Linked DNA regions of Lonchura striata. The protein of the gene in region 1 binds, or shares a complex with, the protein of each later gene. Links are inferred from orthologs where the notes say so. Each region holds a gene or a part of one and is shown in the gene's direction. Other genes may lie near its edges.

Region 1 (6,943 bases):
TGATAATGTGGAATTGGGCAAGTTGTATTATATTTCAATGCAATAGCTTGTTCTTCCTCACATATTTAATTGCTAAAACAAGAATGCTAAGGGGTTTGGAGAATTGATTAACAGATTTGGAGTTTTTAATTGCAAAGATCCAGGACTGATGAATATTTTAAATACTTCTGTGATACCGTACACAGAATATCCACAAGAGGGAACTGTTTTACATAAAGAGGAGTCATTTCCTTGCTGCTAAAACATTGCTTTCTGGAACCAAATCCTCCAGAATTACATTGAGTAGGCATGACTGTATCCTGGACTATGCTACGTGGTAAGAACAGGAACAACACAGGTCAGCACAGCATTTGTTATGTTCTGTAAATAGTATTGTTAACCAAGTAAATTTTGAGCTCGTGTTTAAATATTAAATGGACAACTAATCTGAAAACTAATCCACTAAAGTTTTCTGTTTGTTTGGAATAGATCTCTCCAGGATGCAGAGCTTGAAAATCTTGTTTAGTCTTAAGGCAACGTGAAATGGAGCTGTTGCCTCAGTAAATGAAGCATACAGCCCCAGGAAGCTTTCTCAAACTCTGCTTTATAGAGCCTACACTGGAAAGCTGGCCTTTCTTTATTCATAAAGGAGAAAGCTCAAATGGGACTTAATGGAAGGGATATTCATTTAAGGATCATTTTTACCTCTGTCTATGAATAGGTGAACAAAATACGAAGTTACCTACTTTGCTTTGTCTTTTGCAGATATTTCCTAGTAAGGAAACTTTCAACTGGTAAGGTAAGTCTTACCAATTGATATCTATATTTACTTTTCAGTGTGAGTTTCATGGTAAATATTTGTAGAACTGAGCCATATTTATGTAAATAAGTTTTGTTTATAGGGATAAAACAAAGGTTTTCCCCTGGATATATAGTGTGGAATTTATATACTAGGACTCCTACTGTATGTGTTGGTTGGTTTATGAACAGTTTTGAGCATCAAAACTTAAAAGCAGCTTTTTACAAGTGATCACAATAAATCTGCTATCCCTGTCCAAATCTGCATGTACACTCTGTGTGAACATGTTGGAATCAAATTACTTGAACATACAGACTACATTTTGTGCACTTACTTTGCTTTAGTCAGAGTTTTTCTTTAGGACCATCTTTGGTATGTGTGGGTACAGTATTATGGGGATGGTATTTCAGAAGTGCCTAACAATCCTGTTTGCTTCTGGAGTGCTTGTGAAAACAGTGTCTGCACTGCTCAGCTGCAGCAGTATTGAGTCCAATACTTTTTAACTCATACCTTCTGAATCTATAAAGCAAGAAAATGTATTTTCAGACTGCAGCCTCTCTGTCAAGTCTTCTGAGCCCTCTCAAACAAGAGAGAATGTATGTCACAGCTATGATTCAGAGACTCACTTCTTGTTATCTGCCAGACCAGAATATGGAAGAAATTCCATCATGCAAAAACCTTCCCTGGGATATGCTGGGCAGCTGCTCTTCATTGTCCTCATCTTGCAAGGTGCACAGGGCTTGTAGTTTCTGTTAGCTGTGAGAGTGCCTGTAAGTACCTGGCACTTCTGAAGATCAGACTTCAAGTGTCTGTGGTACGATGCTCCTGCCCTTGTTCCACTCCAGGTGTTTGCTGATGGATAAAAGGATCCCTAGGTGTGTGTGCAGCTGGGAAAAGGATGTTCCTCACAGGACTGCAGAGCAAATGACCGTGAGAACCAGGTTCTGATTGTGTGATCCTGTCATGGAAACACTTTGCAGCCCAAGAGGGTCTCTAGTTGTGGGGAGGGCTGGTAATGAAAAGACATGGGAGGGGGCAGCAGCTGTGGCAGTGCTGGCAGTCTGGGCTTGCATGTGGCAGTTGTGACATGCAGTTTCTTTTCAATCTGACTAGTTTTCTGCATCTAGAAATTCTCAACTAAATTCCATTACAACCACCACCTGGGAACGGCCTGCTTCAGGTCTGCTATGTAACTGTTTTTCTCTGGGAAAAAATAATGTAGCATTTTTCTTACCTGTATGCACTTCCATATCATTATTTAATGCCTTCTCTATTCAGAGGCCCCTATTAAACCCTTCTTGAAAAAGGAAGCCTTCTCTTGAAGGAACAGACTGGAGAAGCAGACTTGAGAGAGACGTCATGATGAACTCACTGAGTCAGACAGACAGTGGTGTTACTGAACAAAAAAAGTGGGGGTGAGAGGGTTAGAGAGCCCCGTAAAAAGCTTTGGGAAGTCATAAAATCTCATTACCTTCACTTAACTAGAAAACAAAAACAAACAAGCCCCTGGCAGATGCAGAAACAGAAACTACTGCTACTAAAGGTTAAGAGATTACTATTTCATAATGGTGGTTCTCTGCTGGTATAGCAACTAGATAAGATGGGGGAATGTCACGCACACAAAGGCTGCTGTATTTTACCCTTGGAAAGATGTCAAGAGGATCTGCATAATACTTTGTACAGACACCCCAGTGAGCAGACCATGTGCCAAATGGAGATTTTGATTTATGTATAAATGAATACACATATAAACATATAAATTACTCTGCTTTTCAACGTGAATACGAAAAAAAAGTAGGAGATGACTGTCCAGATTTTCTTGCTGGCTTCCCCTTTCACCCCATGCTCCCCAAAGGTGTCGTTTTAAATTGTTATTTATATTCCTAAGGGTTGAATTCAGGAATGTTCTTGGGATGTGCGACAATTTACGGTGCGCTTGCGGAGCGTTTGCAGTACTCGCCCGTGTCAATTAAAGACAAGCCACGAACGCCTTCAGCGGAAAAACCCACGCCGCGGTCCCCGATGTTTATTTCACGCTCCCTTAGCGCGTTTCCATGCCAGCTTCCCCCTCCCGCGCCGTGCGCATCCCCGGGCACCTGCTGCTGCAGCTCAAACGCCTCCTGCGAGCCCCGAGCGCGCCCCGTTCCCTCCCTGCCCCGCTGCCCCCGGCTGCAGCCCGGCCCGCCGGCCCCGAGGCGCCCTCGCGGCCGAGGGTCGCGCTCGGCGAGGGATGCGGGCGATGGGCGCGGGGGCCCGGCGGGGCTGCGGGGGCCGTGACTGCGCCGTGCGTTGGCCGCTGCGTCATGACATCCTTCGAACCGGCCCCGCGCACGGCCGGCGCGGGGGGGCCGCTGCCGCCTGCCCCCGCCCCACCGCGGCTGCGGAGAGCGCGGCGCGGCGGCGATGGACGCGCCAGGGCCGGCGGGACTTGTTGGACCGGCAGCTCCCCGGCGCGGCCGGGCACCGCCTCGCCGCCACCTGTGAAGCGCCCGCCCCGGCACGCAGCCCCCGCTCCCGCCTCGCCGTCCTCCGGAGCGGGCGCTCGGCGCTTCGGCGGCGCCGCGAGCTGGACCGAGCGGCCGCGGGGCGGGGAGCGCTGCCCATGGGGCGCCGGGAGCCCGCCTGAGCCGGCGCCCCCACCCCGGCCCGCCCGGCACCCCCGGCCCGCGGGGCCTTTGATGCGCCCCCGGGGCGGCTGCGGGGCCGTCGCGTCCCCCGGCGGCACAGAGGGAGGGGCGGGAGCCGGCGGCGCCGCTGCGCGTGTGGGAGCAACAGCCTGAGCGACAGCCGGGCCCTGGAGGGAGCTCCCGAAGGATGGGCGAGGAGGCGGCGGCAGCGGCAGCGCACGCACAGATGGGCCAGCGGAGGATGAATTAGGAGCCACAGGAGGCTGCTGCTGGCACCGAGGGGGGAAGAAGAGAGGAAGGGGCTGGACTTGGAAGAGGAGGAGGAGGAGGGTGCGCGGTGGGGGTGACTAAGTGTCGCTGATAACAAGTTAAAGACTATTAACAATAATAACAGACCACCTCCGGGAGGATCCGCGGCGGAGGCTGAGTGAGGGATCCCCGCTGAGGCCAGCGGGGTCGCAGCGCTGGGTATCTCGGAGAGACGCTCAGAGGCATCAGTTTGTGGTGGTGGTGGATGATTTTTTTTGGGGGTGGGCGGGGTAGGGGCTGTGTATGCGGGAGAAAGAAGGGGTGGGAATCTGAGGAGGAGACTATATTTTTATTACTATTTAAAATTTTTTAAAATATTATTTTCGCCGTACAAAGAGGACGCTCGGAATTCACCGGCCTGTCGGCTCCCGAGAGGGACCCGGGAATTGTGCGGTCGCTTTTCTTCACCTGCTTTTATTTTTTTCTTTTTTTTTGTTTGCTTGGTTGGTTTGGCTATTTGTTTGTTTTGACTGGGGGCTTTTTATTTTTATTACTCTCCATATCTTTCCCCGCTGAGCAGCGGCGGCAGCAGCAGCAATATGGCTGGTGATGGGCTTTTTGGGGGGCGCTGGCGGCGGGAGGAGCTCTCGGAAGCCCCTGCGCGCCCGGCTCGCTGTTAGCTATGGCAAATGGCAGCGGCGGCGGCTCCTACCCGGGCGGCAGCGGCAGCGGCATTAGAATGAGTAACAATATCAACGCCAACAATCTCAACACAGACTCGTCCTCCTCCCCCGTCAATGTGCCCAAGATGGATGCGCTCATCATCCCGGTGACCATGGAGGTGCCCTGCGATAGCCGCGGACAGCGCATGTGGTGGGCTTTCCTCGCCTCATCCATGGTTACTTTCTTTGGGGGACTGTTTATCATCCTGCTCTGGAGGACCCTCAAGTACCTGTGGACTGTCTGCTGCCACTGCGGGGTCAAAAACAAGGTAACTCCCTCTTCCCTTCCCTTCCCCTCCTGCTGCCGGTGATGGTTTGGTGCGGTGGTGGTGAGGAGGAGTAGGAGCCCAGCCTTGCAGAGCGGGACACCTGGGCGAGGTGGCGGCGGGCTGCTGATGGCAATGTGCTGCCTGCTCTTGGCTTAGGGTTGCCACGGGCTACCGGCAGTGCACCGTGGGCAGTGTAGCTGGAGGGGCGAGGTGGTGCGTGCAGTGCCAGGCGCCTCCCCGTTCCCCCTTCTCTGTTCCACGCCACGCAGGGACCCATTCGTTTTCATGAAAGTTACACCTGGTGTGCGACGCTCACCCTGGCAGAGAGGCACATGCTGGTGTAGTGGGACGGTGCAGATCAGAAGTTTATGTGCACCCTTGGGGCCGCATATGATAGGGTGGGAGCTTGCATATCCTGATCTAAACTCTCAGTTGCCTTGTGGAATGAGAAACTTCGGCAAAATTGAGCGAGTAAATTTCTCGCTCAATTTCTCACTCACTAAAATGAATCTTTATAAAGCTAGTTTCACGCCCTGAGAATATTTGACGTTTCTGTTTGTTAAATGTTTCTATCTGGAAGTATTCTGTACATTTCTAAGTATTCTCTTAACCTAAGTGTGAAGTCTTTGAGGCAGCCTTTCTGCCACTTTGATTTTTGCATATTGCCAGCTGGAAGAAAGCATAGTATGTGAAGTAAGTTCAGTTTCTGCTTTGAAGGGTCTATTTTCAAACCAAAACTAAGAACTTGCTCAAGTCCACATTGTCATTTTTGATTACGAAAAATAAGATCGAAAGTGTTACCACTGTATTGTGAAAGTGGATTTTGACAGACCCCAGAACAGATCAGCAACTGGAGTTTCTCCCCTTCCCTTTTCACATTTTTTGAATTACAAATGGAATAATATCTGCTTCAGTTATTCCTGGCACACAGACACCCACAAAAACACACACACCTTTTAATATATGGTTGCTAGGTTGCTGGTTTGCTTTGACGTACAGTGAGCTGTCTTCCCCTTTCTCCTGTCCCCTCCCCCCTAAACACACAGCACATACACCAGTTCTGTGAAGGGCCCAGCATTTAGGGGAAACCAGCAACAAAGTCAGAGCATGAAAATTTATGGTACTTGTTTGTTGTGTAGTTTGGGTTGCCTACATGAACCTCCACATTCCAGTTGGAAGTTAAACTCTTACAGTGAACTTGGCCTGTCTATGGAAGGAGCGATTGCTAAAGTTAAGGAAGAAAAGCTTTGACGTCAGCCTGAAGCATCAGGAATCCTATCAGGCAGTACTACTTTGCTATAGGCACATTTTTTTTTTCATTCAAAACCAAACCTGAACTTTCTTAGAGTGTTAGCCAGGTATGATGGCACAGCTCTAATGAATTTGTGGTAATAAGATAATATTTCCTACAGCAGTAAAAGGCAGTTTTCAAGGAAGGGCGAGTAGTGAAGACTTAAGCTTTGGTTTTGTTGTGTATTTAGCATTTATGCCTCCACAGACTCTAGACAGGCTCTCAGGGATCTTGATGAAAAATAATAATCTGCCTGTTATTACCTTGTGCTTCTTCCCTTGAGAGAGCAAAAAGTTAGAGGCTTGTACGCAGGATTCTTATGTGTGGTTTCTTGGTGGGTACTGTTGGTCAGGTAGTCCATTACTGGGACACAGCCAGTTAAAGCAGATCAGTCATTTCTTAATCAGTGTAGAAAGATATGTGCAAATTGTTTTTAAAACCTCTTGGGCTAAATGTGCCAATTTAGTAACAGGCTGTATTGAGGGGTTCAAACACTTCCAGTCTGAACAGTTTGATGTACTATGGCTATGGCAGGTTGTAAGATTTCAGTTTATTTCATCTTTGATACTGAAGTAGTTCCATGAATGTCATTCCCTGGGGCAGGAGGATAAAGGACTCTGCAGGTAGGGGGAGATGTATGTCTCCTTTTAGATCCTATTTGTTCCACTTTTAAGGATTTTCAAGACTGGCAAAGAAAAAGAACTTTCAAGTGCTGATCCTGCATTCCTTATATGATAAAATGAGGAATTGGAGGGAATTCTGTTTATGCAAGGATGTTAGTTATAACTAGTTATTGCAAAACACTTTTCTAGTATTTAGGGTATAAGGCCAACTGAAGTAACTGAAGTAACAAGTGGAATGATCTGAAACTTTGCTGTTACCAAGCACATGCTTTGCTGCTTGGTGAGTTGGGAAAAGCTGCCGAGGCTGCTGGAGAGAACTGTGAATGTGTATATGTGCTGTGCTGACTCTATTGGACCTGCTGCAAAAGCAATTTTAGAAGAAGT
Region 2 (7,280 bases), on another chromosome or scaffold:
TACAACAGTGTGCAAGGTAAGTTCTGAGTAGAAAACCCAGTCTTCTTGGAAAGAAGTAGAAGTATTCCTGTTTCTTACCTGTCCAACATGTCTCATAGTCCTTGTGGCATATTGTTTACAAATCTTTACTGAATAGTTAGCTCCACTTTCTCTACAGATCTACTACCTTCAACTTCCAGGGTTTAACATAAGTTTCACTGATTTGATTACATCTGGTATTGCAAAAGACACTTCTTATTTCAGCAATTGTTACTTAGACTACCCTGCTTGTGGGAAAATCACAGGTACCAGAGTGTCATGAAGGAAAGGGTTAAGCATATTCCACTGGGGTCTTTAAAAATGAGCAAACAAAAAACCACCCCACACTTGGTCTCCTCAACCTTAGTGGTGTGGTGCTGCAAATACACACATGAGAACTTTCATGGGCATGATTATAATCTAATTGAAGCCCCAAGTAATCCAGGAAAGCCTGCAGATGCTCACATGGGTAAAAATATTTCTCATGTGACTGACCTTTGATGAAGTGTTGGCTGCATCTGTTGGGGTTCACAACTGACCACACCACTCCATCATGGCTGTGTAGCATTTCTACAGTACGAAGATGTATGATTGTATCACTTGGCTGCATGGCGTGTCTGAAATCCTCTCTGACCCCAAGCCAGTATTTCTTGCCTGTTTGTTTTACAGTTTCCATGAAAAGAAAAGGAGAATGTAACCAAATAAGAATTTGTGTATTGTATTCAGATGCAGGAGAGACCAGAAACAGTCTTTGGCATGACCTAGGCAGGGCTGGGAAACAGAGGTCTGTGGGTCCATCATCTTGCTCCTGAGTGGCTCCTAGGTGACCATGGCTATGGCAGAAGGCTGTCCATCTTCTAAATAATGCTGTTCAAAGTTGCTAGTCACCTCTAAGAAAATTCCCTCTCCCCCTGCCTCCCTCACCCCCCCCTTCCCCAATCCCTTGGTAACTTCCAATTGAAAATAATTCCATGGCTGGACATTGAATGAAACAGAAAGGAAAAATTGGTTGCTGTCATACTCAAGAAAAGCCTCTAAATGCACAGCTGCCATTCTAACCATGGGATACCTAGACAGTGCTTTTGGTTTAAGACCCTAAATATAACAGTTACTATTCAAGCCAAATTTCAGCATGTGAAATTAGTTGTCAAGTACCTTTTCATTGTGTCCCTCAAAATTTGCCACTACCCAAAGCCAGTAGAAATTGAATTCTGGTAATGCAGATTGGATTTAGCAGTTAGTCTGGATTGACAGCTGCTGGTTTTATTTTCATATATAGTATGTCAATTAAGTTTTTATTTTTCTGTGATAAGTATGCATGCTCTTGTTTCCATAAATCTGAAAGTTTCCACTATGTTAAAAAGACCTGAGGAAATGCAGCTGGATAACCTACTTTGAAATTTTGGGTTTAATAGTTTCAGTGGCTTTAGCACTTAAAACCACTTTACTGTTAGAGGTAAACTTTTGAAAGCAATGTTAAAGCACATTGAACGATAGTTTTGACTGTTACTGATTCAGCTCACTTCTGGATTAGCAGTGTTGAACTGAGTTTGTGTATTGTTTTTCTAGGCTTCAGTTTCTCATTTGTATTTTATATTGTCTTCTTGGTACTAGTGAGTTAATACATGTCAGGTTTTTCCTGTTGAAACTACCAAAATAATTTTCTGTAAAATCACCTTTTGAACTCCCTCTGGTTTAGCAAACAATCCAGTGAAGTAGCCAGTTGTTATGATTGGGCCATCCTTCATCAGCTGTAAACAGTCCTGATGAGGAGCGAAAGGAAGGCAGGTGTCCCAAAGCTCTCTGGTGCAGACATTGATGAACCTCTGTGGAAACCCTTCAGCATTCTCTAAACTTATTCTTGAGTAAAGGGTGGGTTTGGTTGTTTCAGAGATCTCTCTTCCCTTGGAAGGCCAGTTAACTTTCTGGTGGGCATCACAGCATTTGTTTTATAAAGGCACTCAGTTGTTCTATTTAGATATTTGCTTTTGGAAAAGGTAGTTCATTTCCTGGAAGAGGGGCAGTCAGCATCCCGCACTCCAGCACGAGGCTTGTGCAAGGAAACAGGGAGGTGTGAGCCCAGGCCCAGTGAGCAGTCGGAGTGGGTGTGGTGGCAGAGCTGCGCTGTGGCTGCCCAGCCTCCAGCTGCCTGACCAAGGCAGAGGTGTTCTCAGCACTGGCCATACCAGGTGGGTCAGCTGCAATTGGCCACAGGTAAGGCTGTCCCTTGGTTGTGGGGCAAGGAAGGGCCCAAAAGAGCAGGCAGCAATCTGGTCTTCTGCTGTTGAGATTTTCATATAGACGTTGGACTTCATATGCCAGCTTTCTCAGCCCTGGTGGCTCCTGGTGCAGCCCATGGTCCTGGAGCCAGCATCCCCACTCCTGCCCTCAACAGGTGACAGCAGAGCTAAAATCTTTACAATGGGCCCCCTTTACTCTGCTACAGTGATCAGGCACTGATGATCATTTTTCACTTCAAATTGATCCAAATAGACTTTAAGTCTTGACTGAGTCATTGGTGCAGAAGTTCAGAATCTATGAGATCACCTGGTGAATGCTTAGTCCATTTCTAGTTAAAGTACAACTTCAGCATCTCCCCAGCTGTGGAGGATGTAGGGCTTGGATGCACACAGGAGGACTAGCTCAAGGTTGCTCTGTCACCCAGTGAGCTGTTGCCTTAATTTCCATCTGACAGCACTTTATGTACAAGGGATTGCAGGGACTTGAACCAAGTATGGAAGGCCAGCTGTTCAGGAGGTAAGACAGAAGGAAGCCGCAGCTCATTTAAACTGAGAAAGCAGAGCTGGAGCTTCCCTTTCAGGTGGTACGTGACTGATCAACCTGATTATAATTTTATTTTTTATATTATGAAAACTATGCAACAAGCCTCTACCATTAGAGACTGCTGTCACTACAAGTGCTGGCGCCACAGAGCCAAGGACTAGGCAAGAGGAGTTGAGTTTCTAGTATAAACACCTATAGGAGTTTTAAGTAAAAAAACCCATAATTCCAGCTCAGAGCTGGTATACTTTTTCAGAAACCCTTTGATAATCAGGGCAGGCTACTGCAAAGCAGCTGGCTTGAGGGGAGTGCGGTGGTTCACTTGTGCAAGCAAGGACAATATTTACATCCATCTATATTCATGGCACAGCGTGGACTTAATAGCCTTCCTGCCAAACCTTGCTTAATAGTCCATTTGGAGAACCTACGGATCAGCTTCATTTATAAAAGTTTGATGTTGCAGTCTGCAGTGGGAAAGAAATTGGAAAAGGAAAGTGCTATTTCCCAAACTTTTTCTGCATTTCTGTACCTTCTTGTCTACAGTGCCATCAAGTTCAGCTATCAGCTCGGGCCTCATTTTGTTATACTAATTGCCTGTGATAAAGACTACAGAATAGAACTATAAGTATTGCATATGGTACTTTGGCACCGAAGAATTTGTGTTGCCACAGTGGGAAATGCTGGCTAATAACCAAGCTTTATTTGCCAAATAAATACATTTTCTTGAATCAGCAGCTTTTCTTGCAAACCTGCTTGGAAGACAGCATTTCTTAGGGTGAACCTTCAAGGGTCAATACCTTCCTGTTCAAAGCAACTCCTGTGTGTGATAGCTATCATCTTGCATGTTATCTCTGTCCCTACTGTGCAGATGCTGGTTTTGGGGCTGGCCAGAACACTTTACTTTGAACTCCAAAAATGTTAACATTTGGCTAATTCCCATTATGCCCTTCTTTATTAATAAGGTGAAAATAGAAGCTGACTTCTCACTTGTGGATGCTTAATTTCTTTCATTTCATATCCATTTCCTCCTCTGCTCATAGAGACCTTGCAGACTGTGATGCCTTAGGGGTACTGAATGGAACTTTACACAAGATCTCCAAGATTTAAGAAGGAAGCCAGTGGTGAGATGTTGCCTTAGGGGGGGGCCACAATGCACCCAAAGGACCCCACCCACCCTCTTCTAGATATTGTACATTGCATGATGGTACCCAATATTAATCCGGACTAACCCTCCGCACAGCAAATCTCCAGTCAGATAATCGGGTTGCAAGCTGTCCCTTTCCACTCCCGGAGGGCCCTGAATTAGGTCAGACGGGATTAAATTTGCTTTTTTTATTATTTGTCTTTTTTTTTTTTTTTCCGTGCTGGTTACACGCGCAATCAGCCTCGGAGGAGGCGGGGATGGAGGCGGGGAGCGGCGGTAGTTTTAGCCGATGGCAGTGGCTGATGCCCGGCGGCGGATGCCAGCGGCAGCCGGGCGATGGCGAGGAGCCGGGCGGCTTACGAGTACACGGAGGCGGAGGACAAGAGCATGCGGCTGGGTTTCCTCCTCATCGCCGCCGGCTTGCTTTCCCTGTTGGGTTTGGGTTGTTGCTGGCTTCGCCCGGCGCTGCAGGAGCGGGGCGGCGGCGGCTCCGCCAACTGCACGGTGCTGGCGGTGCGGCAGCTGGGGGAGCGCTTCGCCTGCACCTTCTCCTGCGGGGCCGCCTGCCGCGGCACCGCCCGCTACCCCTGCCTCCAGGTGCTGGTCCGCACCTCCCGCTCCTCCGCACCCGCCCTGCTCCATGAGGACGAGCGGCAGCTGCGCACCAACCCCAAGGTGAGACCCGCGGACGCCCTCCTCTCCCAAAATGCGGGCGGTGGTCCCGTCGCGGCTGTCGGTGCCCGTTCACCGCTCCTGGCACTCGCCCTCTGTTCGGTGCGGGGATTTCTCTTTTGGGAGGTGGAGGGTGGTAAGTGAAGTGGGGGAGTATCCGTCCGAAATGCCGCTCTGCTTGTTGCTCAGCAAAAAGTAGTATATCTCTATAGTGTTTATATACATATATAATCTCAGGGAAGGCTTAGGCTCGATACTTGGAAAAGGCTCTTCACCCAGAGGGTGGTTGGGCACCGGAGCAGGCTCCCCAGGGAAGTAGTCACAGCACCAAAGCTGACAGAGTTCAAGAAGCGTTCGCTCTCAAGCACATGGTGTGACTCCTGGGGCTGTCCTGTGCAGGGCCAGGAGGTGATCTGGATGATCCCAGTGAGTGCCTTCCAATTCGGGATATTTTGTGATTCTATATAGTATAGTATAACATGCTGTATGTAATGTATACTGTACTATATAGTGTATTACACTGTACTATATACTGTATAGTATGGTACATGCGCACACATACACACACACACTGTCTCACTCTCACACACTCTCACCCTTCGCGGCCAGCTCCATTCCGTCCGTCCCACCCGCGTCCGGAGCGCAGCCCCGGGCGGCAGCGCAGGGACGGCAGCGGAGGCTCCTCTGCCGTTCCCCGGCTCTCCCCGCCGGAGCCCCGGGACGCCGGTGCGGAGAGGAGGCGAAAGTCCTGCTGCCGGCGGGGAGGTCTGTGTGCTCGGGCAGCGCCCGGTGCCGCTGCGGTGCGCGTCCCGGAGGGTGCGGGACTTCGCAGTGCCGCTCCCCGGAGCGCACGGAGAAATGCTAATGGGGCCGCTGCTGGCGGGGAAAGGGCTACACCAAAACTAAAGTTTCCCCCGTGCTGTTTTGATTCTTAAACTCCTCCAAGGACCAAACGAAGAATTTGTAAAGTTGCATCTTCCAGCAAACTGGGGGAGTCTGAAGGCAATGTACGATTTTTGTACTTTCTCTTTCCTTAAAGGCAGTTATTCCTCCTTCTCCTTTTTCTTTTTATGCTGGGTAAAATGGCTTTCCTAGCACGCACATGAGTGGAGGAGATATTATTAAGTAGTTTGAAGAAGATGTCGGAATCCTCCTCCTTCTGAAATAACTTGGAATTAGCACTATGTTGCATCCACATCTCTGTCAAAGAGCTGAAATTTCCTTGCCACTACACTCTTAAGGGCCATGCTCAGCACAATGCAGGGGTGTGTTTGCAGGGCTGGGAAGCATGCTTTGGTGTCCAGCTGGGATGTGCAGCCTCACTCTCCTCAGTCATACTTGCACGGGTGTGCTCCATCACTTGGAAGGCAGATAAAGTTTCACACTCAGGGTTTGAGGGTTGCTTTTCCCCCCTTGGCAGCTTGGAAGGGTGGTCAGGGTAAAAATCAGAAGAGTAAGTAGCAGGATAGTAAATCTGACAGGATTTGGATTAAATTTTTGGCACTGCTCAGAAGTGATGAGTGATTGAAGCTGCAGTGCTGGATGGAGCCTGATTAGAAAGCAGATGAAATGCTGGCCTGTGAGGGAGCTTTGCAAATCTTTTCCTGGGAGTGCTGCTGCCAGGCTCCCTGTGCAGAGGGGTGCGGTGGCAGAGGTGTGCTGGGAGTGCCCTAGCTGTCCGAGCTGCAGGACTTCTCTAAGCATCTCTCCATTTTCAGGTGGGCGGGGGGAGTTGGTAAAATGCAGGAGAAAAGTCACCCTTTTGATATGGGGTAAAGATGACGTGGCTCTGCAGAGGGGCAGCATGGCTCTCCCTGAGCGTGGCCCTGTGGCTCAGTCGTGGTCATCTCCAGCAAGGAGCTGGGAGATGGAAAGTGGGAGATGGGAGGTGAGTGCTGATTGCCACCAGAATGCCTGGGCTCAGCAGCTCTGGCAGCATCTGCAGGTTCAGCAGCAGCTTTCAAATTGGACCGTGACTGCAATACCATTCTGAGTAGTCCAAGTGTTTTGTTTTGTTTTTACTTCTTGATCTTATTTACTTCTGCCTTTCTGTAACTATGGTGGGAAGAGAAGGATTGCACCTGCCCGGGGGCTGAATTGCAATTGCAGGGAGGCACTCCAAGCTTGAGAAGTAATGCCTGTAAATATCACTCAGAAAACTATTTTTATTTAACAATTAATTTCATGTTAACTCTTAATAATAAAACAGGGCTGTTGGCTGTGTGTGGTACTTTCCTGCTTTTACAAATATAATCTCTTTTCTTTACCTTTCACCTTGTGTTTCTAGGTGTGGGCTGTTTACCCTGGGATATTGATTGCTGAGTATTAAATCTGATTTACCAGATGTGACCAAGCAAAAAAGGATGCATTTTTTTTGATGTAACTGTAGTCTTTGGTAGTAACTGAATTTATCTCAGTGGAAAATTGTGCAGAAAAAAAATGTGCTCTAATTATTGTCCCTACTTTAAGAAGCTTATGTAAAACAAATACAAAATAAGCAGAAAAGTCAGGTCTCATCAGGAAACATACCTTTGTAAGGGACTGAAGTCTGGATCTGTTTATTTGGTTTTCCCTTTTTTTCCCTAATTCAATGTCTGCAGAGACAAACAGTTATACTCTCCTTTAATTTTTGATTTAAAGTCTTGCTGTCTTTGAAAGCTTTCAG

The links. The genes of interacting proteins can lie anywhere in the genome.
Region 2: the proteins of KCNMA1 (region 1) and KCNMB4 are in contact, whole or in part, in a cryo-EM structure (PDB 6V22), measured with the Homo sapiens proteins. The link is inferred for Lonchura striata from reciprocal best matches to the Homo sapiens genes KCNMA1 and KCNMB4. Residues at the interface, in NP_001154824.1 of Homo sapiens: Phe98, Phe99, Leu102, Phe103, Leu106, Leu107, Arg109, Thr110, Tyr113, Leu114, Thr116, Val117, Asp238, Leu240, Trp241, Leu244, Pro327, Trp328, Asn330, Gln332, Leu367; in NP_055320.4 of Homo sapiens: Thr11, Glu12, Ala13, Glu14, Lys16, Ser17, Leu20, Leu24, Ile34, Phe35, Cys38, Trp39, His105, Thr164, His165, Val183, Leu186, Ile187, Leu190, Thr191, Ala194, Leu197, Ala198, Lys200, Ala201, Met204.

What each region holds. Positions count from the first base shown.
Region 1 is NC_134609.1:9,978,747-9,985,689, forward strand, and holds the start of KCNMA1 (calcium-activated potassium channel subunit alpha-1), read left to right. Parts: upstream 1-3,934; 5' UTR 3,935-4,336; coding exon 4,337-4,645; intron 4,646-6,943. UniProt on the Homo sapiens protein: Potassium channel activated by both membrane depolarization or increase in cytosolic Ca(2+) that mediates export of K(+). It is also activated by the concentration of cytosolic Mg(2+).
Region 2 is NC_134607.1:44,931,293-44,938,572, forward strand, and holds the start of KCNMB4 (calcium-activated potassium channel subunit beta-4), read left to right. Parts: upstream 1-4,279; coding exon 4,280-4,618; intron 4,619-7,280. UniProt on the Homo sapiens protein: Regulatory subunit of the calcium activated potassium KCNMA1 (maxiK) channel. Modulates the calcium sensitivity and gating kinetics of KCNMA1, thereby contributing to KCNMA1 channel diversity.